Linked DNA regions of Oryzias latipes. The protein of the gene in region 1 interacts with the protein of each later gene in a biochemical or structural test. Links are inferred from orthologs where the notes say so. Each region holds a gene or a part of one and is shown on either strand. Other genes may lie near its edges.

Region 1 (5,587 bases):
CAAAAGACTTGAACTGTTTGCACTGAGCTCAGATCTGAACAGTTTGGAAGCATTAATCTTCTGCACTTTGTGTCAGCTTAAACTATAAAGCGACTGATCCTGAAATCAAAGCAGTTTACAATTTTTATTATCAAAGAAAGACAAAACATGTTCAAAAAATATTTTTCTCTTATCTGAGAAGTGGAGTTGCTGGAAAAAAGCTGAAACCAAAGTGCAGTTCTTTATTTCCACAGTGTGCTGGTTTTATTGTGAAGGTGCTCCGTGGAAATGGGAGTCTTTCCATTCCAGAGGAAGGCGTTTCAGCAGATTAATAGGCAGGCATATCTGTGGACAGCTGTTTAATTCTGGGAGGACCCTTGACTCTCTCCTTTCTTTAAAAGCAGGCTCTTAATTTGTGAAAAGATCCAGAGGTTTCTTGAGTCACCGTGAAGTTGTTGATTCAAAAGCTACTTCTGGAATTTTCCTGCTTACTAATGTTTTTAACGGTTACTGAAAAGTTTTCTGAAGATGCAAACTAACCTTTGATCTGTTCTGAAGTCTGAAAAAACATAAAGCTGAGCAGATTCATTTTAGTAAAGACAGTAAATTCTGTTAACAAATTCAGGTTTTTTCTTCTTATTTACTTTTTAAATATATATTTATCTGTGTGCATTTGTTCTAACCCCAGTCTTTTTCTTTAAATCCAGGGTAAAGGATTCTGTCATGTTGATGATTAAAGCACAGAAAAAATGTTTTTAAATCTTTTATTTTTCAGATGCTGCAGCTGGAGCCAGTGGGACAGACCCGTGGTGGCCACAGTCTCCCAAAAAAGAAGATTTCTGCAAAACCCAATGAACATTAAAAGAATCCTTTTAAAAATGAATATTTCACTTTTCTTTTAAAGCCAAAAAATAAATCCTGTGTTTTAGTCTGACTTTTTTGTATTTCAGTATAAGAGTGATTCTCCTCTGAGTTGAAAACACTTCATGTGCAATTTTGTTATAATTGTAATAAATGGAAAATGAAATGTGAGGTTTATTCTTTTATTGTTTTAAGGTTACGCTTGGTTGGAAAAAAAAAATTCACTTGAATTTTGTTGCAGTTATGTACGAAAAATGTCAAATTAGTAGGTCACAGCTGTTTTAAATTTGAATTTGCATTTATTGGCCCATGACTTGGATGTTTGTTTTTGAGGAACTAGTTTAAAATCAAACGCATATTTAAGCATGCGGAGGTCATGTTTAAATCCTTTTATGGTGGGGATTTTATTTTCCTATTGAAAGTAAAATAAAGGCTTCAAATTTAAACAAGATGCCAATGATGCCTGAAAGTGCTTTTACAATTCAGTGAAATCTTTGCTCTATCAAAATAAAGGTTTATTTCAATGTTTACTGAAAACCTTATTAGTCACGGATGAATAAATGAATCTAAATACCACTTTTGAAGACTTTTTTTGTTAAAATAATCACAAAAACGTGTCTGACAGACATTTTATTTGGTAAAGACATTACTTATAAACATGAAATTGAGGGGAAAATGCGTTTAAACAGATCTTCCTAATGAGAAATTTTGGATTTTTAACGGATCCCTGTTCTTTGTAGCTTTTCACATTATGAGCAAGCCTCTTTTTTTAAGATTTAAGTATACATATTTTATGTTTTTGTGGAAAACAATTTCAAACTAATATCCATTTACGAAGCTAAAACCGAAAATGTTTAGTTCTTTATTTTTTACTTGATAAAAAAAATGTTCCTTTTCCGGTTTCCTGTTTTGTCAAGGCATGGGAACACATGTGACGTCATCGCGTTCGACAGGAATCTCGTGCGCGGGAGTTTTGTTTGTAGGATCAGCAAACAGAACAAAGCAGCAGGTATTTCATCGAAACCGTGGTCTTTAGTAGAAAAATGTCACTGCTTCTAGGGGGTTCGAACCATGACACTTGGCTCTTTGCTCTTAAACCCAGAGCAGCTTTACGGAAGATCAAACTTTTTGTACGAAATTACGCAAATTAGCGCTAAAGCTAAGTTAGCGGGCGACTTCAATTTAGCCAAAAAATGCTTTGAAAGATACAAATAAGCCTTTTGAAAATATGAACAGCTGCTGTTGTTATTGGAAAACTTTGATTTATAGGAGTCAGTTTGTAGTCGTTTGGTTAAACACTGGTTTCCCCATAAGTGTTACGTCAACTTATCAATAAAGTTTTTGAATTTGAACAACGGGGTGTAACTTCAACAGGCAATGTTAACTTTAGAAAACATTTGTCTCTTCTAATCATTTATTATAAAATGCGGATTAAAAAAAGCTTTGAACACCTGCTGAGACGCTGCAGTTAACATTTTATTTTATCAACTACAACTAAGAACTACAAATCCCTGCTGCATAACAGGCTGCAAATTGGTTTGATAATGCCACTTTATTCCCTGAATTATGTAGAGGAAAGAAAAGTAATTTAAACGTATATATTTAAAATTATTTGACTAATAAAAATTCGTTAGTATTCAGTATATTGCTTAAAAACCTCTAAAGAGGATTGATGGATAATTGCATGCTGGGAAATCATGTTTCACGTGTTTAAGTTTTAAGTTACTGTTAATATTCTTATTCTGTGCTTAGGTGTTTTGGGTCGTTTAAAACGCTCCTATTTTAGTTTAAGAAAATATCCTCAAGTCTTTTATGTTTTGAAGAAAAACTAGTATTAAATCAGTAGGATTTAGTTAAATGAAAGCATTAGACCTCCTTAAACTTTCTGTCCTGTTTTGTTTTGTATCGTGGTGTTTGCTGCTCTGACACTCCTTTTTGACTCTGTGCAGTGAGGACCCTGCCTGAGGAGAATTCAGCTTTTCATTCAAGAGTCATGGCCATGAGGAGCGAGGCTCGGGTGGAGGCAGAAGTGGCGGTGGAGGAGGAGGAGAACTTTGGGCCGCAGCCTCTTAGCAGACTGGAGGTTTGAACCCTGATAGTTCTATTGTGTCTTTTGCAGAAGCTTTGTTGTCTTAAACATTTTGGTTTCTGCTTGCAGCAGTGTGGAATCAGCTCCAGCGACATCAAGAAACTGGAGGACGCAGGCTTCCACACCATTGAGGCCGTGGCGTACGCTCCCAAGAAGGAGCTGCTCAACATCAAAGGCATCAGCGAGGCCAAAGCCGACAAGATCCTAGTGAGGAACAGCAGCTTCTGGCTTCAGGGATTCTGCTGCTCCTACCTAACGGTTCTGTTATCTCTCTCAGACTGAAGCTGCCAAGCTAGTACCGATGGGTTTCACTACAGCCACAGAGTTCCACCAGAGAAGGTCGGAGATCATCCAGATCTCCACAGGATCCAAAGAGCTGGACAAACTCCTGCAGGGTGAGTTTGCTGGAGCTCCTTCACCATCCCTGAGGATTTGAAGAATGTTGACCTTTTCCTTCCTGAGTTCAGGTGGTATTGAGACAGGCTCCATCACAGAGATGTTTGGGGAGTTTCGCACGGGGAAGACGCAGCTGTGCCACACCCTCGCTGTCACGTGTCAGGTAAGATCAGCGCGGAATGGCCAAACTTCCATCTGTCTGATCACGTGAAGCTTTCAGTCCTCTGTTCTGTTTGCAGCTGCCCATCGATCAAGGGGGAGGAGAAGGGAAAGCGATGTACATCGACACAGAGGGGACCTTCAGACCAGAGAGGCTCCTCGCTGTGGCAGAGAGGCGAGTTTCCACCGTGAGCGTCAAACTCCTCATCTTACTTTGAGAAAATGTTAAAACTCTGGGCTCTTCAGGTACGGTCTGGTGGGCAGTGACGTCCTGGACAACGTGGCGTACGCCCGCGCCTTCAACACCGACCATCAGACCCAACTGCTGTACCAAGCTTCAGCCATGATGGCAGAGTCCAGGTGAGTCCTTCACACCTTCTGCTGTCCTCCAGTCCACTTCCTGAGATCAGACAGTTTGCAGGTTTCCGAACACATTCAGTCAAAGGTCACATACCCAAGTGTTTGAGCTTTAAAGTCCGATCATCTTTTTTTAAAATCTATTTTCAAATCATTCCCAGTAATCTTTTTATCATGAATATGCTGATTTTGGCCAAACTAGCATAACTGGTTGCCTCTAGTTGAATGTTTATCCTTCTTTTACAATGCAGCAAATAGGTTCATTTGAAGAATGAGAGATAAAAAATCAATACATTTAAATATATATATATGTTTATTGACATGTTATTGAGGGAAACAGTATGTCAGGAGGGGGCGGCAATGAAATAGAGGATTATGTCATCAGCATGGAGGTGGATGGAGGAGTCAGATGTTCTTAATGTTGATAACTGATGAGATCCATCAGGATAAACCTCAGACAGAACTGCCCCCTGCTGGTGGCTCTGTTAGTGCACAGACAGCGAGGACTTTTCAGGTGCCTCACTGGTCATCATATTTGGTGGACTTTGTGAGGAAGCCGCAGAGAAAACCCACACATGCAGCCAAATGTAATATTCTACCGAAGGAGGTTGACAAATGGAACTGCTGTTAAAAAAAAAGTTGTCAGTTCATCTGTATTGTAAAAAAAGCATCAGAACATCAGCTTTAGATTACTTTAGATGGTGCGTTTGTGTCTCAGGTATGCCCTGCTGATCGTGGATAGCGCCACTGCTCTGTACAGAACCGACTACTCGGGTCGAGGAGAGCTGTCGGCCCGGCAGGGGCACCTGGGCCGGTTCCTGCGCATGCTGCTGCGACTGGCAGACGAGGTACGGGCCCACCTCTGATCCCTGCAGATTCTCACCTCTAGATTACAAATATGATCCAGATTCAGATGTGGTGGTTTTTATGAACAAAATCCAGAATTATCTATTTTTATTTATTTACCAACATTTTGGGGGTTTGATTTGTAGACAAAAACTATCAGCACAGCGTACAAAGTTTTAGGTTCAAATAGAAACTGTAACCCTTGTGCTATCCTAGGTACTTTAACGTTGGGAGTTGGGTCATCTAGACCCACTAGACAGTGCTCTGAACCTTTTTCTTCAATGATTTGTGATCTTCACTGGTGTCCATGGATTACATGAAATCTTTCCACCTTTATCCACCTTTGTCATGGTAGGGAGAACACGTCAATGTAAGGACAAGATAGCACAAGGGTTAAAAAAATATATATGTATTTTATTTTATTTTTTGCCACAAAGGCTGAAAGGAAAATTCCTGTTGAGTCTTTGTTTGAAACTAAATAGTTGTTAATTTGGGGGAACCGGATCACCGGATCCAACTTTCCCATTCTGACTTCTGTTGTTGCAGTTTGGCGTTGCCGTGGTGATAACCAACCAGGTGGTTGCGCAAGTGGACGGGGCAGCCATGTTTTCTGCGGATCCTAAGAAACCCATCGGAGGGAACATCCTGGCGCACGCCTCCACCACACGGTGAGTTTCCCTCCGACCCAGTTCTGTGCCGCCGCGCCTCCATCTAAAGCCCTGCTGCTTCGCTCAGGTTGTATCTGAGGAAAGGTCGAGGGGAAACCCGGATCTGCAAGATCTACGACTCGCCTTGCCTGCCTGAGGCCGAGGCCATGTTCGCCATCAACGCCGACGGCGTGGGCGACGCCAAGGACTGAGCAGCAGGAGGAACGCCATCAGCATTTAGGGACCGTTTTCT
Region 2 (5,826 bases), on another chromosome or scaffold:
CACACATATAAGAGGATAACATACATATATATAAAGATAGATAATAGAGATAAACATTTTTACAACTATTGTGAATAGAAACAAAGCAGCATTCATTTTTGTTTTTCCAGGGAGGAGTTTGCATACCGGTGTTAGAGCAGGATATGAAGGCAAACACACACTCGTCCTCATGTGCATGCAGGCTCTCCAGGGAGCAGACCACCTCACATCCGTGTGCTGCATTCATACAGCGGATCTGCAGGCGGTTCAGGTCATTGCGCATGTACCTGCAATCAAAACACTCAAACTGAGAGGCTCTTCCCATCACTTTCTTGCATCTCTAAAGCAGACAAGTGAAACAAAAATAAAGAGGCATAGAGATTCAGAAAGATATCTGAAGTGTAGTTGCAGGGATGGAGACATACCGGTACAGGGGTTTGAGGTTGCTCACATCTAATGGCAGTCTGTCTTCTGGACAGGTGTGGTGATGAAGCAGCCAGCTGCTGATGCAGGAGCTGCAGTAGGCATGTTCACAGGGTGCCTGAAGGGGGCGTTCAAGCACATCTCGGCACACACAGCACAGCAGACCTTCATTCACGTAGCCTACAAACCTCTCTAGATCATAACCCATCCTATAGAGGATCAAACAGGTTGCACAGAGGTTGTTACATTTCCTGTGCAGTTTACTTGTTTTTCTACTTATTTGCTTTTAATCTCTCTTACCTGAGGATTTGACTTCATCCAGCTCCTCCTGTATCTTGTAGACTTCACCTGCACCTGCTCAATCTATTTGATCACACTGTAGAGGCTCTCCTTCATCCTGAAGCAGAGGGTCTCCTGCTCCTCCTCTTCCTCTGGGAGAGCGTTTCTATGGAGAGCTAACTCTGACAACAATGGTGCAGGATACAGCCAGGCAGGCAGCTGTCGGACAAGAGCAGAGGGACAGACAAAAAAGCAGTCAAGTGTTTCACGAACTGTCTAAAGCCCAGTTGTTACACAGCCCTTAGAGATAATAGCTGCTCCCCTTAACGGCGAAAGTTATCTGAGGTTTCTCTGTTTGTCTAGAGCTGTGGGATTATCGTGGATTACACTCTTTTCGTCCCTGATTGGATTGCAAAGTACACACCATCGGATAGCACGTAGCACATGACAACAGGAATCAAAAGATCACCTTCACTGCCCATACTTATTACCCCTGTCCTTGAGTGTAATGGAATAAAGTCGAAAAGAAAGTAGTAAAAAGACCTTTCTAAAATGGTATGAAGTAAACCAAAGACTTCACAACTAAATGAAGTTAAACTTTCCAGATTTTCTAAACAAAATAGAGTTGGAAATATTAAAAATAGTGACTATTCACTAAAAAAAAGCTGCTTTTAATTCCACCAACAAACGGTTCAATTAATATTTGTTCAGATTTAGTCATTACTTTTCACTAAAATTATTATTTTGTTAAATGTACACCTCTATGCTCGATTTGCTGCTGTCATGGACCACAGAAAAGATCTGAAATACGTTTAGGAGAGCTACTCAAAATGTGTGGACATAAACTGGACTAATGCTTGGAATGTTAGTAAAAAATGTTGTTTAAATAACAAAATAAAAGAGGTGTCCTTCAAAATATCGCATTGTATATATCCTGCCAAAAAAAGAAGATTTGTTGATTTGTTGTTGAAAGAGGAAACCATTTATCACCTGTTTGTGGACTGCATACATACAAATATGTTGTAGATGGAAGTGGAAAATTATATAGAAAATTTAACTAAAAGAAACTGTACAATTTTTGGATAAAGAAATTATTCCGGGTTATCTTAATGACAATGTAGACAAAGATTGTATCTTTATTACATAGATGTTTTCATCATTTGCAAAATTCCATATTAATTAAGCCAAATGGTCCAACTCCAAACCTAAATTCCAGCATTTTTTGAATGAAATCAATCAGTACTGTAACATTATCAAACAACTGCAAAACCAAAAGGCAATTCGAACTGATTTGATTTTTTTTTTTTAATTTCATACACTGTATACGTATTTGTACGTATACATAATTTTTTTTTTTGTTTTGTTTTCTTTCTGCAATGTACATATTCAGTAACCCCTGAGACGTTCACTATTTTGTTCTATTGTGTTATTTGTCAATAAAGTCTGAAAAAAGAGGTTTAGGCATGCTGAAAGGATTTGGCTGTCCAGGTGTTCAAATCAAACATGCTTTTTTCTCATTTGACCACGCCTTTTGTTGACTTTTAACCAATCAGAACCCCCAAATAATTCAGCGGGAGACATGTTTCGGAAGTTGCCTTTTCCGCTTACACTGTGGGAAACTTATCAAGTTGAATTGGACGATATTTAAGTAATTCTCCAAAATAACATTTTCTCGTCGGTGGTATGTATCACGCATTGTTACAAAATATCATTACGGCCGATTTAAACTTTCGACTTGACCACGTGATAACAGTTAAACACAGCCTGTCGCTGACTTTACTTACTTCAAACTAGTCTAAAAGTAAAAATCAAAAACGACAAACGGAACCTGATAAAGGACAAAATACATAAATTGTCACTAGAGTCAACAAAAAAGTTTCAAAACTGTTTGTTGAAGAGTTTATATTTATATTGCGTTAATAGAAACACATTTTCTGATCCTGAGTTGCTAAAACGTAGAAATCTTTAGTCGGTTAAGGTATTCTAAATGCAAAAACTAAAAAAAATCACTAGTCTTTCTTGGTAAAGCATGCCTGTTTTAGATCACTTTTTTTCTTCTATACCTCTTTTTTCTTTAAGAATTTCAAAGGTGTAGCTATTGAAAAATTGCCTATGTTTTCCCCATTGTGTTTCTAAAATGTAGTTTATTTCTGTTTGTAGGGGGCACATTGACCTTTTATAAGGAATGAGGCGTTCAGGAGCACCCAGTCAGCTTTTGGGGAATGCAGTGAAAAAAACACGATTTGTTTCACCAGCTTCACTACTTCAAACTGAATCAAAGCCTTTGGCCCCCAAACCGGGTTTGGTGAATGCATTGGATAAAGTAAGTTCCTATTCACTGTGTTTAATTCTCAATTTTACTAATTTCTCTTTTTTTGAGTAGCTTTTGCAGTTTACCTTTTGGCATATCCCTTCAGGGGTCACCACAGTAAATCAGCTTTTCTAAATCACTAGAAGCAAAGAAATATCCACGTTCAGCGGTTTGACAGTCATATTTTTTTGCCTCATGTAAATTTAGTTGCAGGGATTACTAGGGACCAAAATGAGGACTCAAGTGTGTGTAATTAAACTGATATCACTTCTTTTGCAGGTCCAGAGAAGTCTATCTGTGGCAGTGGAAAGTGAAATAAATGTGTCTGCTAAAACCAGCCAAACTGCCCCTTTGTCACGGGCTCTGGCTCGAGTTCTCAGTGCTACTGACAGTAAAGAAAACGAGGCTGACACCAAATCCGTCCCTGGATTAAGAGATTTAACAGAAGATGAAAATAAAGGTATGTTTCTAATTGTTTGTGTAAATTTATAAGGCAGTACTACTTCTGTTGTATCCTAATGTTTTGGGGAGTCATCAGTAAAATAGTCCCTCTGGTCTACAGTAGAATTTTTTTTTTGCCCTTTATTTTTATACTTAATTTTTGTTTTTTGGTGGTTTTGATCTGACTCTTCAGGTAAACATATTTTGCAACCCAGTTTGTGTGTTTCATACAGCACTTTTTATTCAGTCTGACATACAAGTTTAATTTATCTACTGAAAAGATGTCAGTGTTGTAAAATAATATGCTTGACGGAATTAAATAATATCTGAATTTACTTTATATAACACTTTCAGCTAAACTGTAGAATTTATTCATCATCAGCATCAACAATATATATTTACTTTGTTTAAACTTATCACTTGTATTTCCTTAATTATCATAATAATGGGAAAACAATTTGGCTTTTTTTCTCTAACCTGCTCCACCAACATAAGCATGTCCCTTACAAAACTTTACAGACACATACACACACATACTTCCAAAAGGTTTTAGAAAACAATGCTTAAACATTCAAATTACCATTAAAGCTGACAGATCTAATTAGAACTAATACTGGATTTGGTATTGATCTTATAGACATTGCTAACGCTTTTAGTCAATGACATGACGTCTCACCTCCTGGGACAGACTGTCCAGGGTGTACACACCTTCGCCCAGCATAACCGTTACAGGTACTGTTCAATTCAATTCAATTTTATTTGTATAGCCCAAATTCACAACAACAGTCGTCTCGATGGGCTTAGTATCGGTAATTGAAAAAGTGAAACATGAACTCAAAAGGATCATGAATACAAAGAGTTCAATAGGAAAATTCTAAAATGAACTAACAAACTGACTAAGCTATACTGGCATCCCTGCCCTTAAACCCCTTTCACGGTAAGGAAAAACTCCTAAAAAAAACGGACTCCGGAAAAAACGAAGAAACCTCAGGGGTGCCTCCATGAAGGAGGGATCCTCCCCCAGGACGGACAGGCGATTTACCAGAACTCTTAGAGAAGAATTAACTTATCTAACTCTACAACTACATATTTAAAGTCCAGCAGACGAGCTTTATCCAGACGGAGTTGGGGGGACAGTAAGGGGCGAGAGTCGAGCAGGAGACAGGATCCAGAGCCAGGTGTCAGGGCAGGAGCAGAGACGAGGTACACGGTCAGGTGCAGAGCAGAGACGAGCCAGAGGCAGGATCCACAGCCAGGTGTAGGACAGTAGTACTGTTTGGTGATTTGGTTCGGACGGGTATCAAATTGCACAGCGCCGCTGAAATCGCGCTGCTGCCAGACCTTTGCACCACACCCGTCGCTTAAATCACACCACTGGACCTCAGCACGCGTCTCTACCATGTAATTAACTTTGAAAACTGGCTGCCTCTGCCGCGCCACTCGCGTTCGGTGTGAACACAGCATTGCCCTATCCATAAGACATGCTCCTAAACTTAACCCTTCCTCTGGGTCCGTGCGGCCAAGAAAAAAGTTTCAGCACTGGCTGCACGTATTTGGAAAATTACGTGTGAATAGTCACTTTCTTTCAGGCATTTCATTGTATTTGGTGTGAATTGAACAATCTGCATGTGCTATATTAAAACAGTTCTGAGCCACAGCTAGTGTTGCTGGTGCAATGTAGCCTAAATTATAATGTAATTCAAAGCATTTTTCATGGGCTAGTAAAAGTTATTTTTCGTGTGTAATTTTATTATACAGCAGGGTCTGATACACACAGAAAATATGTCACTTCACCGTTTCTGAGAAACACCTCTATGTCTGTCATTTGTGCCCCCCCTCTTGTGCCAAGCTCTTCACTCATGGAAGACACAGCTTGCAGAAAGGGGAGGGGTCAGGGGCGGGGCTACCAGCTAAGCACCAATGACCACGCCCACGTGGAGGAGATTTTGGAAACGGAGGCTTAAGACAAACATGAAATGTGGCTTTTTAAGACAATTATGTTGTGGGATTTTTGTTATAATTTTATAATCATAAATAGAAAACCACTCGGAATGTTTTTGTTTAAATAAAAAAAGATCTTGGGGGACTAAACACATCTCCCCTCCTTAAACGGTGTCACGTGATCACTGTTCTACACTGAAAGAGTCTGTTGGAGCGGGCGGGTCGATGCAGCAGGTCCAGCATTATGTAAATGAGCAGCTGCTGGGTCCAGATTAGGACTGTGCTCGGGATCAGACGAACGTCCTGAAGCCACGCGGCGCGTGTCTGCACGGTTTTCCACGTGCTTCGGCGGACTGTTTGGTGATGCCCCGCTCGAAACTGACCGCACGTGCAGCAACAACAATCGTGGCGGGGCAGAGAAGCTGCTGTTCTGAGCATGCTCAGTGAGCCCA
Region 3 (5,628 bases), on another chromosome or scaffold:
GGTAATGGAGAACCAACCAGACATTGTAGTGGTGGATAAAGAACAGAGGAAAGCCGTTGTGGTGGATGTGGCAGTGCCAAGCGATGGGAACATCAGGAAGAAGGAAGACGAGAAACTGGTGAAATACCAGGGACTCAGAGAAGAACTGGAGAAAGCCTGGAAAGTGAAGGTGACAGTGGTGCCTGTGGTAATTGGAGCACTCGGGGCAGTAACACCCAAGCTGGAGGAGTGGCTACAACAGATACCTGGAAAGACCTCAGACCTCTCAGTCCAGAAAAGTGCAGTGCTAGGAACAGCTAAGATACTGCAGGAGCCTCAAGCTCCCAGGCCTCTGGTAGAGGACCCGAGCTTGGAGGAGAAACCACCCGCGGAGGGTGAGAGGGGCGTTTTTTTTGTTGCTTTTTTATTTTATTTTATATATGTGTGTGTGTATATTATATTATATTATATTATATTATATTATATTATATTATATTATATTATATTATATTATATTATATTATATTATATTATATTATATTATATTATATTATATTATATTATATTATATTATATTACATGCATTGTTAGATATAAAGTTTGCATGAGAGGAAGACAGCTGAAATCCTGAATGGACTATTACCTGTTTAAGAAATGGAGCGATTAAATGTGACGACTTCACCCATAGAAAATGGTTTACTTCTAGAAACTTCAGGACCTATGTCTAGAAAATGACAAGTTTTGTTATTTTGACATCGTCATTATTAAAATACCACTGTTAACTAGGCCTGCACAATATACCGCAAATTTATCGTTATCGCAATATCCAGCTCTGCAATAGGCATATCGCAAAAGACTAATATCAAAATTAATCGTAAACCCAAAATGTGTTAAAACAATCTTATGGCAGCTTGATGCTTTTAACGAATCAAATAAATCCCTTTATGCTTTGACCAATCAGATGGACGCCTTCCCATTGTTTACCAATCAGATGGAGGCCTATTATGTTAGATGTTTGTCACCTATGTGGATGAGGGTCATTTGGAGTATAATTTTAAACTGTTTCTAATGAAATGGGAATGATGTTTTTGGCATTTTTCTATTTTTTATATCGCAATATTAATCTCTAATATCGCATATCGCAAGTTTTCCTCATATCGTGCAGCGCTACTGTGAACCATTGAAAAGATAATCCCACTAGAACTTTAGATCAGTGGCGATTTTTTTAAGACTGCAAGGAAAGCTCGGCTTCCCTTATATATAATATAATGTCACAAAATCAATGGTTAAATATGTACTATTGTATTAACATTTTATTGACTAAAAATGTGTTAGAAACGTTCATCTCAAAGACGAGTTCGTTCAGAAACAGTTACATATAGCAGGTCGGCTGACTCCATTTCCTTCTCATACATTCCCGCAGCATCACAGTGCATTTCCCTATTGAAGCCCAGCGTCCATTGACTTCAATGGGGCTGCTTTGAACTTTTTTTTTTTTCCAGCGCTTCGAAACTAGACGGCCATTGGATAAACGCTGCGATTAAGTCCCGCCCACGGACGCTCAGCGTCTCTGGGGGTCAATGGCGGATGGGCTGGCCCGGACTCAGAGCTTCTGCCTGATGATTGGAGGGTCTGTCGAAAGACTCCATCTCCTTTGACTGACAACGATTCTGTACTATAAGGAATCACTGAAGGTATTCGGGCTCAGTCCCATCGCGGATTTCTCATGTTCAGTCGAAATAAAAATTGCTGCAACCTATTTCTTTTATATTTGCTTGGCGAAATTGCTTGATTTTTTTACTTTTAAATAAATAGACAATTTTATGATGTAGGGCGAAAATGAGCGTCCCCTCTCTGACAGACCAGTAGCCGCCACTGCTTTAGATAAATATATATTCCCTTCTCCACCGATCACACTAGGTGGCAGTAAAGAGCAAAATATTTGCTTTCCAACTTCGGTAAAACCAACGAAGAAGAAGCGGACCAATCACTGCTCGAAAGCCAACTTGTTTGGATTTACTCGGTTGCGGTTTCCGACTCTCAATTAAATCTACTTTTCAGTCCTGGCTGCTACTTTTATTTGTGTTTACAGATGTTTTTGCTTGTTTTGTTTGTTCATTTTCGTTGTTCTTAAAAAAAGTCGTGAAAGTAGATAGAACGATACAAGCTAGCAAAACTCTGGAAGCTAGCGTAATGCTTATCGTTTTAAAACCTACATGACATGTACGATACGAATGAGTTTTTAATTTTTTAATCATGTTTTTATGCTAGCAAACATGGTGTGACTTTGTTACTAAGGAACGGACGAGTACAGAGATGGAGGTGTCCGCCAAAGGTGAGTTCAACGTTGAGGTAAACAAAGACGCTGAAATGCTAATTTACTCGAGGTTAAACTTAAACTTAAGTGTCTGAAATAGTTTTCTTTACTGAGTTATGTTTTCTTCAACGGAGTGCTACGTTGTGTTTATGATTCTTGATATCATTTCAGAAACATAATTGCAGCTAGTTTGTGTTAATCGTTAGAAACGCTCACTCTCACGTTTGTGATGGTCTGTAAAGTAAACATCATGGCGCTTCTGTGTCTCCAGGCAGAGCCAAAAGAAAGCATCTGAATGCTCGGGACTGCGCCCAACTGGGACGAAGTGCGAACGGGACAGATGTTCTGACTCAGCCCCACACATCAAACCATGGGCTGGGGTACCGCAACCCAAACCGGGGGCTTCATCCCAGGTCACCAGCAAAGAGAAGGAAACCTGGTAATCTACGACGGAAATCGGCTTCGATTCATTCTCGATTTGGTCCAAGCGTGATTATTTAAGAGAGAAGGGAAAAGTGGGATCTGTAAAACATAAGGAGACATGGATACAAATACAAAAAGCAAAGTAAAACTTCAAGAAAAAGAAATGCCACAGACCATCTTTTAATGTATTTTCAAAACGTTCCCAGTGGTCTTTGCCGTTAATTATGCAGATTGTAGCCAAAATAAAAAAAACTGTCATTTTCTAGGACATAGTTTCTGCAGAGCAACAGGGGTTCATCAGAAATTTGGCTCTAAGTTGTGGCATTGGAGACGACCTGAAGTTGGCTTCCGATTCGTGAGGGCACTCAAGGAAGATTCCACTGCATTTTTCCCACTAAGATCACCTAGAACCAGGTCCTGTTGAAAAACCGCAGGAGCTGGACTGCTCAGTCCTGGAATAAATTATGCAACAGAAACTAAAGATTACATTAAACACTGTTTCTGATTTGTGAAACCTTTCTCTGATCAGTGAAAATGTGAAATAGGATCATTTTTATGCAGTGAGTGCACCTTAGATCAGGTCCTGTTCAAAAACCACACGACCTGGACTGATCAAACCTGGATTAAATTATGATTTAGATACAAAAGAATACATTAAACACAGTTTCTGATTTGTGAAACCTTCCAAGCAGGAAGTTGAAACCTTTATTTGATTTCTGAAAATGAGGAAGGGAGAGATACGATCAAGGGAGGAGTGAAGATATATGAACAACAGAGAAAGAGATGGGTGAACCTGAAATGGGAAGAGATAACCATTACAATACCAGGGTCCAAAAAGAGAGAGGTTATCATAAAAGCTGGTTTTGTCACATTTACTTTGATAGGTTTATGTTATTGTGGCTTTCCTGACACAATAAAATATGCAGTGGAATGTTCCTTTAGTGCTTCGCGAATCGGAAGCTGTGAATCGGAAGCCAACTTCAGGTCGTGCATGGAGTGAGCCTCCCTTCATTTCCCATCATCCATTTGTTTACACTCTCTCCTGGTAGCTTAGAGCCCCTCATACCTCCAACGTAACATTAGTGGTTCAACAAAGGTGACAAATGCCAAATTTGCTGCTTGTCGACAGTTCCTTAGCTTGACACCTCTGCTGCAGGTGGGAGGAGCTACTGTCATGAGTTTTTCTTCATCCTGACATCATGGCAGACACGAAGGATGTTGGTAGAATAGATTTATCTATTTATTCTGAAGAGATCTATGAAGGCATTGGTAAACACGCCTCCATATATGGGTTTATAAATTCTGGGATGCCTTGCTTGTCCTACTCTTTAAAAAATAAAAAAGTTGACTATTTTATCCCACAATGGGAAATTTGTTCTCTGCATTTGACCCCTCCCCTGGGGGAGGGGGAGCTGCAGACGAGCCCCGCGTGGGAACCATTTGGTGGTTTTAACCCCCCAATCCAAACCCTTGATGCTGAGGGAGGGAGGCATTTGGGCCCTTTTTAAAGTCTTCTGAATGACTCGGCCTGGGTTCAAACCCTTCCGGTTACAGGGCGGACACTCTACCCCAAGGCCACTGAACTGGTTTATTTGTATACTGTTGTTTTATGAAGATACAATGCACAAACCATAGTGCTCTTTGTTTTTCACATATACATATCTCAAGTATTTTTTATATGTAGGAATATATTGAATTCATATATGTATGGAATATATGTAAACCCGTGTGTGTGCATGTTTTGAACTACTACTATTTATTACATATATACAGTGGGGCCAAAAAGCATTTAGTCAGCCACCAATTGTGCAAATTCTCCTGCTTAAAAAATAATTTTCATCATACCTCAACGATGAGACACAAAATGAGATAAAAAAAAATCCCGAAAATAACCTAAAAAATTTCATGTCTGAGTTTTTCACTGCAGTACAAAAGCTTGTTGTTGGAGCTAGACTCTCCTTTGGAACTGTTTTCATTGTTTTTGTCATAGTTGTGGTTAAACTCAGTGATGTCACGCCTTTATCCACTGTTGCCTTGTTTCTGTATCTAATAGGGAAAATTGAGAAGAACTCTGTGAATCCTCAGATCTGTTCTTTTCTCTGTGCAGAAAAAAAAAACAAGTTTTCTTTGAGAATTTGGAGATGCACCACTTTTTAGGCTAAACTGAATAAAAAATCAACAACAGCAGCAAATTGTTTACAGCCTTCCTCCCTTATGGGCGGGTACTGGCTGTCTGCGGGTGAAAAATGGGCAGATCTGTATTGAGTAACCAGGTGGGCCACCCAAAACTCAAGGTTGTAAACTTTTTCTACAGGCACGATGCGGGTGAAACATCTGGTAGGGTGACGTGGGGGACATGCAGGCGTCCCGTACAGAATTTTCCTTTTTTTCTGATATATGTGTGATCGTTGATTGTAGCCTGACTTTTAAAAACTAGGAAATGAAACAATCAGAGTTTAGTTTGTGTGGCGTTGTCCGGGGACTTGGGTATCACGTGCGTGTGCAGCATTTGTGCACGGTCAGTAAGGTAAGCAGCAGATAAGGCAAGGTTTTAGCAAACCTGCAGGAAGCCGGCCCTCGAGGCCTGGAGTGTAACACCAAGGGATGAATTTCCCCCACAACATCTCATTTCATGCAGACTGATTTGAAAACAGTTTTTATTTTTATTCTTTTTTGCAGCTGCAGCAGCATCTGGAAGTCCCTGTGACAAACAGAAGTCCATCAACAGCTTCTTCTCTGTGACAAAAGTTCTCAGCTCCAGTCCACACAAGTCCCCTCAGTCATCCTCATCTGCATTTCCTGTTCAACAGTCGATGGACGTTGAGGAAGAGGATGATGATGATGTTAGCCTTCTGGCTGCTTCACTTCAAGTAGAGCCTGTGGAGGAAGATGAGATCGACGACACAAGT
Region 4 (5,497 bases), on another chromosome or scaffold:
GTCACAGTTATTTGAACAAAAGCCCGTTTTTGCGGGCGGACTTCCCGCACAAACACCCGGGGGACAAACGCCTGTTTGTACACGTATCTGTGCGTGGGCGAATTCACGGTAACGACAAGTTCGTTTTCCCAGTCAGTGTATTTGGGTGTCTCCCCCATTGAAACAAAACTGCACACACGATGAAGCGCCCCCCAGTGGTCAGAGGGGAGAAATGCAGTCTGGCTTCTCAGACAAAGACAACATAAAAGCTCTGCGAGCATCTTCAGTCACACAAAACAAAGAGGTTTTATTGTTTGTGTTCAGCAGTCCCGCTTTTATTCAACGTTAAAAATCCAGCTGGTTTAGATTAACCAGGAAACGCCACACCAGGTTAGTCTGGGTATTTCTGCTTTTGTACCCCCACCCCTCCTCCTCCTGTGTGTCGGTTACAGTCAGATGCCATTTCTCGTAATTGCTCCTTTTCTGGCCTGCACATATGGAATCGCCTTTTTCTGGTTGAAGCTACGTGACCTGTCAATAAAAGCAAACAAGACTTCAAACAGTCCACGTTGATCGCGCGGGGGAGAATGCGCGAGCAGTCGTGCGTATACGTGGAGCTGCTCCATTGATCTGTGCGGCCGGAATGGAGCGCAGTGTAAACAAAGCCGCTCGTCGTCTGAAGGCACCCGGAGAAGCTGGCGCAGAGGGCCAGGGAGGGGGGGCTTGTATGGATAGGAAAGTGTGTCGCCAAGTTGCGGTGTGTCCTGCGCCTCTGCCCGCCCACAGAACCCGAACTCACCGTTCCTGATCCCGGTGCTGCTCCCTGTAACATGAAACGATCCTGAAGAGCGGAGAGGAAAGCGCCTGTTGTTGGCTCATTAGCTCATCCACCACAGATCCCACGTGGTCGGAGCAGCCTTGCAGGCATCGGGTCGCGGGTGGAAGAAGGATCCTACCTGGGACGCCGCAGGCTCATTCAGGAGGCTGGTGGTGGAGTGGCAGCTCGCTCCGTCGCTCCTCCCTCGTTCTCTGGCTTTGGCTCGTCCCCGCTTTGTTTTGACGTGATGCAAAAGATAATCTGGACGCGTGGACGCGCTTTGTGGTTACAGCTGCGTGCATGAAAGGGAAATTATAAAATGTTTGGAAGAGGAACAAACACAACTTTTTAAGGCATCGCATCACACGGAGCGTGTGTGACGAGGAAAGCGAGTCTCACTGATGACCTGAGCGCAAAAATGCGTAAAATGCGCCACGTTGCCCGGGATTACACTATAGTTTCCCCCAAAACGGCATAAATATTAAACCATCAGATAATTTAGTATAAACTCATTGACCAGATGCGAAAATTGGCGCAAGATGTTTGTATTTTAACTGAACGAAAAACAAATAAACGTGTTTAAACGGCAAATTGAGACATAAACTAGAATATGACCTGATTAAAAAAAAAGATGTATAAATGTAGGACAAAAGAAAAAATATCAAAGCAGGAACAATTCTGCAAAATGATGAAAAAACACCAAAACCCACAAAAAACAAGAAAAAAGGGCATAAAATCGTAAAATGTTTATACAATTTGTGTAAGTTTAGTCATTTATCTCCAAAGATGAAAAAAGGCCAAACGAGAAAATCAAAACAAATATGATACCGAAATAAAAAAAATAGGAACAAAAATCCGAAAGATTTTTCAAGGAAAAAAAATAGAAAGGGAGATGACGGTTTTTCCCGTAAATAATGTAGACTTCAATATCAGCATTCTGTTTTTCTGATGGTCTGTTGGAGATCTTAGGAAGATTTCCGAAATGAAATTAGACAAATAAAACGAATCAAAATGTATGTTATTACTATTATTATTACTATTATTATTACTACTATTATTATTATTATTATCATCATCATCATCGGGGGGTGGTGGGGTGGGCTGTTTTTTTGTTTTTATGTTTGTTTGTTTTCACAAACCTTATAAGTACAAAAGGCACAAAAAGTACAAAAGGTTAAACATTTACTATGGTTTAAGATTAGAACAGTTTGTGAGCAATTTTTGCTTCACTTTTTAAAAATCATATGTAAAAAATACTAATAATAGACTGTAATGTTGTTACGTTTTAGGCTATTTCAGGTATATCTCGTTAATGCAAGTATCTACCCAAAAAAAGACTGAAAACAGATAGTTGCGATGAAGTTAAATGCATTCTTTTCACTATCTAACATGGGTAGTTTAAACATAAGTAATATTGAATGCGTTCCATGTGTGCTTATATCAGTTGAAGTGACTAAAGATCACTTTGAAGAATACATGTTAAACTGATGCCAATAGTTGAATTTCCGTTTACCCTGATGGCATCATTTCATCCTCTTCCGGTTCTCTAAGCGGGAGGTTCAAATCCTCGTAGTGTAAATGCTAACTATTCAGGTTCGTTTTTAACACGGAAAACACATTTTAAATAAGGTGAGTTGTGTCTAAGAGCATTTATTGTAGAATTTTATCTCCTAATAATGGAATATTAGCGAGCGTGCTAAAGCTAGCTTGATCTCCTTGTGTTTTTTGGCTAGCTTTCTGCGTCACTTTTTGCATGATTGGGTGAATTGAGATGACATTTGAAGTACTAGCTGCATGCAAGTTTGTGTTTCAGGCTAGCCATAATGTCGGCTGAGGAAAGGGGCTTCCCTGCACCCACAAAGTTCGGACAGGTTAGTCGATTTACAAACGTACAACTACAACGCCATGATACGATTGAGTAGATGTGCGCATGCTCCACTCACTTAGCTAGAAAATTGGATGCTCCTATTCTCACATCATCCCCATCACTGTAAGGATGCATGCAAGATAAGTGGAACCACCATCTCCTTTAATGTGTTTATATAGATTCATTAAGTGCAAAATAAAATCCTCAAGGCTGTAATAAATAACGTGTAACTTGTTTGTTTACCTTTTCTTCTGTGGCGTGTTATACTGTTCTGCACCCACCCAGTGCACCTACACAGCAGAGGAGTACCAGGCTGTCCACAATGCCTTGCGACAGAAACTGGGACCAGAGTACATCAGTACCAGAATGGCAGGAGGAGGCCAGAAGGCAATTATAGCAAACATATGTTCATTTTTTGCCCAAATTATTCTCTATCTAAACACTTATTCCTAATTGTTTTTGGTTTTTTTTCACCAGGTGTGTTACATTGAAGGACACCGTGTCATTGGCCTGGCCAACGAGATGTTTGGGTACAATGGATGGTCTCACTCCATTTCCCAGCAGAATGTCGGTACGAGAAGCTCAACTCCAAAGCGTTCAGTTCAATTCCGCAAAGCAGATTAACAGTCAGAGGTTTTGCTTCCAGACTTTGTAGACCTTGTCAATGGGAGGTTTTACGTGGGAGTCAGCGCCTTTGTCAAAGTGCAGCTGAAGGTTTGGCGTTGTCATTTGTTTGAATCTGCACCTATAATCCCACAGTGAATGATTTAAAGTACTGTCTAACAAATCTCCTGCCTCTAGGATGGGTCGTTTCATGAGGACGTGGGATATGGAGTTAGTGAGGGCCTGAAATCTAAAGCTCTGTCTCTGGAAAAAGCCAGGAAAGAGGCGGTCACTGACGGCATGAAGAGAGCACTGAAGTCAATAATTCACACAGCAGTATTTATTACTTCATAAATCAATTAGATTAATCCACTATTTGACATAAATATCTGCTTTTTTTTTGTTCAGATGTTTTGGTAATGCCCTCGGAAACTGCATCCTCGATAAAGAATATCTTCTTGCCATTAATAAGATCCCCAGACAGGTCAGACTCAACATATGAAGTAAATTCTCCTTTAGTCTGGATTATTGTCTTCCATTTATGGTTCTAAGATTTTCATTTTCTGTACAAAGCCTCCAGCACCTTTGGACCCAGCAAAGACTAAGCGTTCTGAAGGCGAACCGTCAATCGAGAAGGCCCGGTTCAGCAGTCTTGGCCGAGAGGAGAAACTACTATGTGCAGCGGGTTCTTCCAGGATGCCACTAGAACCCAGAGTATTGAACCAGAATCAGTCTGAACTTCACACACCGAGTGCTGCCAGCTCTGTTCCCAACGTAAAGAGTGAGGATGTCAGCTCCAGGTAAAAAGTAAAAGCTGCTTTGAGACCCTAGCTTCCCATACAAATTCACATCACCTTCTCTCACTGTCCTTCTTTGAAGATCTTTTGGGTCAGAGGTGCACACAGACCCTAAACACTTACGAAAACTCAGACAGCAGGAACTTCAGCAGAAGTTCAAGAAGGAGATGGAGGCCAAGAAGCTCCAGCAGAACCTGGATCAAGTCAAGACAGAGGAGTCTCCGGCACCTGGTGAACGGCGATCCTCTGGAGGTAAAGGTTTGGAGAGGAACAAGTATGGAGGCAACCTGAAATTTCTATTCCATTCAATTACAGTAGAAAAATTCCCACTCCGATTATCTCTTGATCTATATCAAAGTGTTCCCAGTGATTTTGATTATGCTGTTTTTAGCCTTAGAAAAAAAAAACATGTCATTTTTAATGAGACAGATCAGCAGTAGTTCACTGAGTTGTGGATGGACTGTTGGCATGGGGTAACCCCGGCCCCTTTCCCATCATCCACCTGTTTTCATGCTCATTATCTATCAAGCCGTACATTTGTGCCAGGTGCCCGCTCGGACATCTAGTCGTCTACAAGTGGATGCATTAGAACAGGGGTGGGCAATTCCAGGCCTCGAGGGCTGGTGTGTCTGCATGATTTCTAGATAGTCTTGCTCTACTCATGGCTGATTACCTGGTTCAGGTGTGTCCAGCCAATCAGAACATGCCAGAGCAGGGTATGCTGGAAAACATGCAGGAATGCGGCCCTCAGTGCCCACCCCTGCATTAGAATGAAGCAGAGCTTGTGGCTGTACAAGCTCTTTCCAACGGCATTTCCTCATCTGTTACAGATTTACCACAATTTGTTTAACCCTTGTGCTATCCTAGGCACTTTACCATTGGGAGTTGGGTCATCTAGACCCACTAGACAGTGCTCTGAACCTTTTTTCTTCAATGATTTGTGATCTTCACTGGTGTCCATGGACTACATGAAATCTTTCCACCTTTTTCCACCTTTGTCATGCTAGGAATAACACGTCAATGTAAGGGTGGGGTCATAGGATAGCAGAAGGGTTAAAGAAATACTCAGAAATGCTAATTTAAGCATAATTATGAGAAAAATGCCACAAGAAGTCGTTAAACACAACATTTTTATCTGAGTAGGTCTTTAAGATTTTTATTTAAAACACAAACTGAGAAGATGGTTGTGCAGCTCAATGACTTGGCTTATCCATAAAGTTAACTTATGTCAGAAATGCATTTAAATGAAGCTGTTCTGTTATTCAGATGTCTCATAGGGAGCTTTTTCACTCCGTTGTTTCTGTTCTGCAGGTCACAGCGGAGAGTTGAGGTCCAGCGAGAGCATCTCTACTGAAAACCATCCCAGCAGCAAGGACCCATGTTTAGCAGGTTCTGTGAAGCAGAATAAATCCCCACAGGAGGACCGCATGGCGA

The links.
Region 2: the proteins of rad51 (region 1) and rad54b form a complex in vitro, tested with the Homo sapiens proteins (2 studies listed by BioGRID). The link is inferred for Oryzias latipes from reciprocal best matches to the Homo sapiens genes RAD51 and RAD54B.
Region 3: the proteins of rad51 (region 1) and fbh1 form a complex in vitro, tested with the Homo sapiens proteins (2 studies listed by BioGRID, with this or other methods). The link is inferred for Oryzias latipes from reciprocal best matches to the Homo sapiens genes RAD51 and FBH1.
Region 4: the proteins of rad51 (region 1) and rad52 form a complex in vitro, tested with the Homo sapiens proteins (6 studies listed by BioGRID). The link is inferred for Oryzias latipes from reciprocal best matches to the Homo sapiens genes RAD51 and RAD52.

The regions. Positions count from the first base shown.
Region 1 is NC_019882.2:19,722,446-19,728,032, forward strand, and holds the start of rad51 (DNA repair protein RAD51 homolog 1), read left to right. Parts: upstream 1-1,778; 5' UTR 1,779-1,849; intron 1,850-1,885; exon of another isoform or gene 1,886-1,970; intron 1,971-2,789; 5' UTR 2,790-2,833; coding exon 2,834-2,923; intron 2,924-2,998; coding exon 2,999-3,136; intron 3,137-3,206; coding exon 3,207-3,324; intron 3,325-3,396; coding exon 3,397-3,488; intron 3,489-3,564; coding exon 3,565-3,659; intron 3,660-3,730; coding exon 3,731-3,844; intron 3,845-4,559; coding exon 4,560-4,689; intron 4,690-5,233; coding exon 5,234-5,355; intron 5,356-5,422; coding exon 5,423-5,546; 3' UTR 5,547-5,587. Other genes in the region: centromere-associated protein E, read left to right, coding at 755-834.
Region 2 is NC_019874.2:17,753,321-17,759,146, reverse strand, and holds the start of rad54b (DNA repair and recombination protein RAD54B), read left to right. Parts: upstream 1-2,119; 5' UTR 2,120-2,362; intron 2,363-2,841; 5' UTR 2,842-2,866; coding exon 2,867-3,004; intron 3,005-3,271; coding exon 3,272-3,452; intron 3,453-4,530; exon of another isoform or gene 4,531-5,826. Other genes in the region: RING finger protein 151-like, read right to left, coding at 127-266, 405-520, 703-720. UniProt on the Homo sapiens protein: Involved in DNA repair and mitotic recombination. May play an active role in recombination processes in concert with other members of the RAD52 epistasis group.
Region 3 is NC_019881.2:3,015,463-3,021,090, forward strand, and holds the start of fbh1 (F-box DNA helicase 1), read left to right. Parts: upstream 1-1,951; 5' UTR 1,952-2,295; coding exon 2,296-2,314; intron 2,315-2,567; coding exon 2,568-2,735; intron 2,736-5,398; coding exon 5,399-5,628. UniProt on the Homo sapiens protein: 3'-5' DNA helicase and substrate-recognition component of the SCF(FBH1) E3 ubiquitin ligase complex that plays a key role in response to stalled/damaged replication forks.
Region 4 is NC_019864.2:21,083,477-21,088,973, reverse strand, and holds the start of rad52 (DNA repair protein RAD52 homolog), read left to right. Parts: upstream 1-2,059; 5' UTR 2,060-2,425; intron 2,426-2,438; exon of another isoform or gene 2,439-2,597; 5' UTR 2,598-2,619; coding exon 2,620-2,667; intron 2,668-2,948; coding exon 2,949-3,050; intron 3,051-3,140; coding exon 3,141-3,234; intron 3,235-3,309; coding exon 3,310-3,377; intron 3,378-3,464; coding exon 3,465-3,583; intron 3,584-3,674; coding exon 3,675-3,750; intron 3,751-3,839; coding exon 3,840-4,066; intron 4,067-4,145; coding exon 4,146-4,315; intron 4,316-5,374; coding exon 5,375-5,452; intron 5,453-5,497. Other genes in the region: proline-rich protein 5, read right to left, coding at 779-811. UniProt on the Homo sapiens protein: Involved in double-stranded break repair. Plays a central role in genetic recombination and DNA repair by promoting the annealing of complementary single-stranded DNA and by stimulation of the RAD51 recombinase.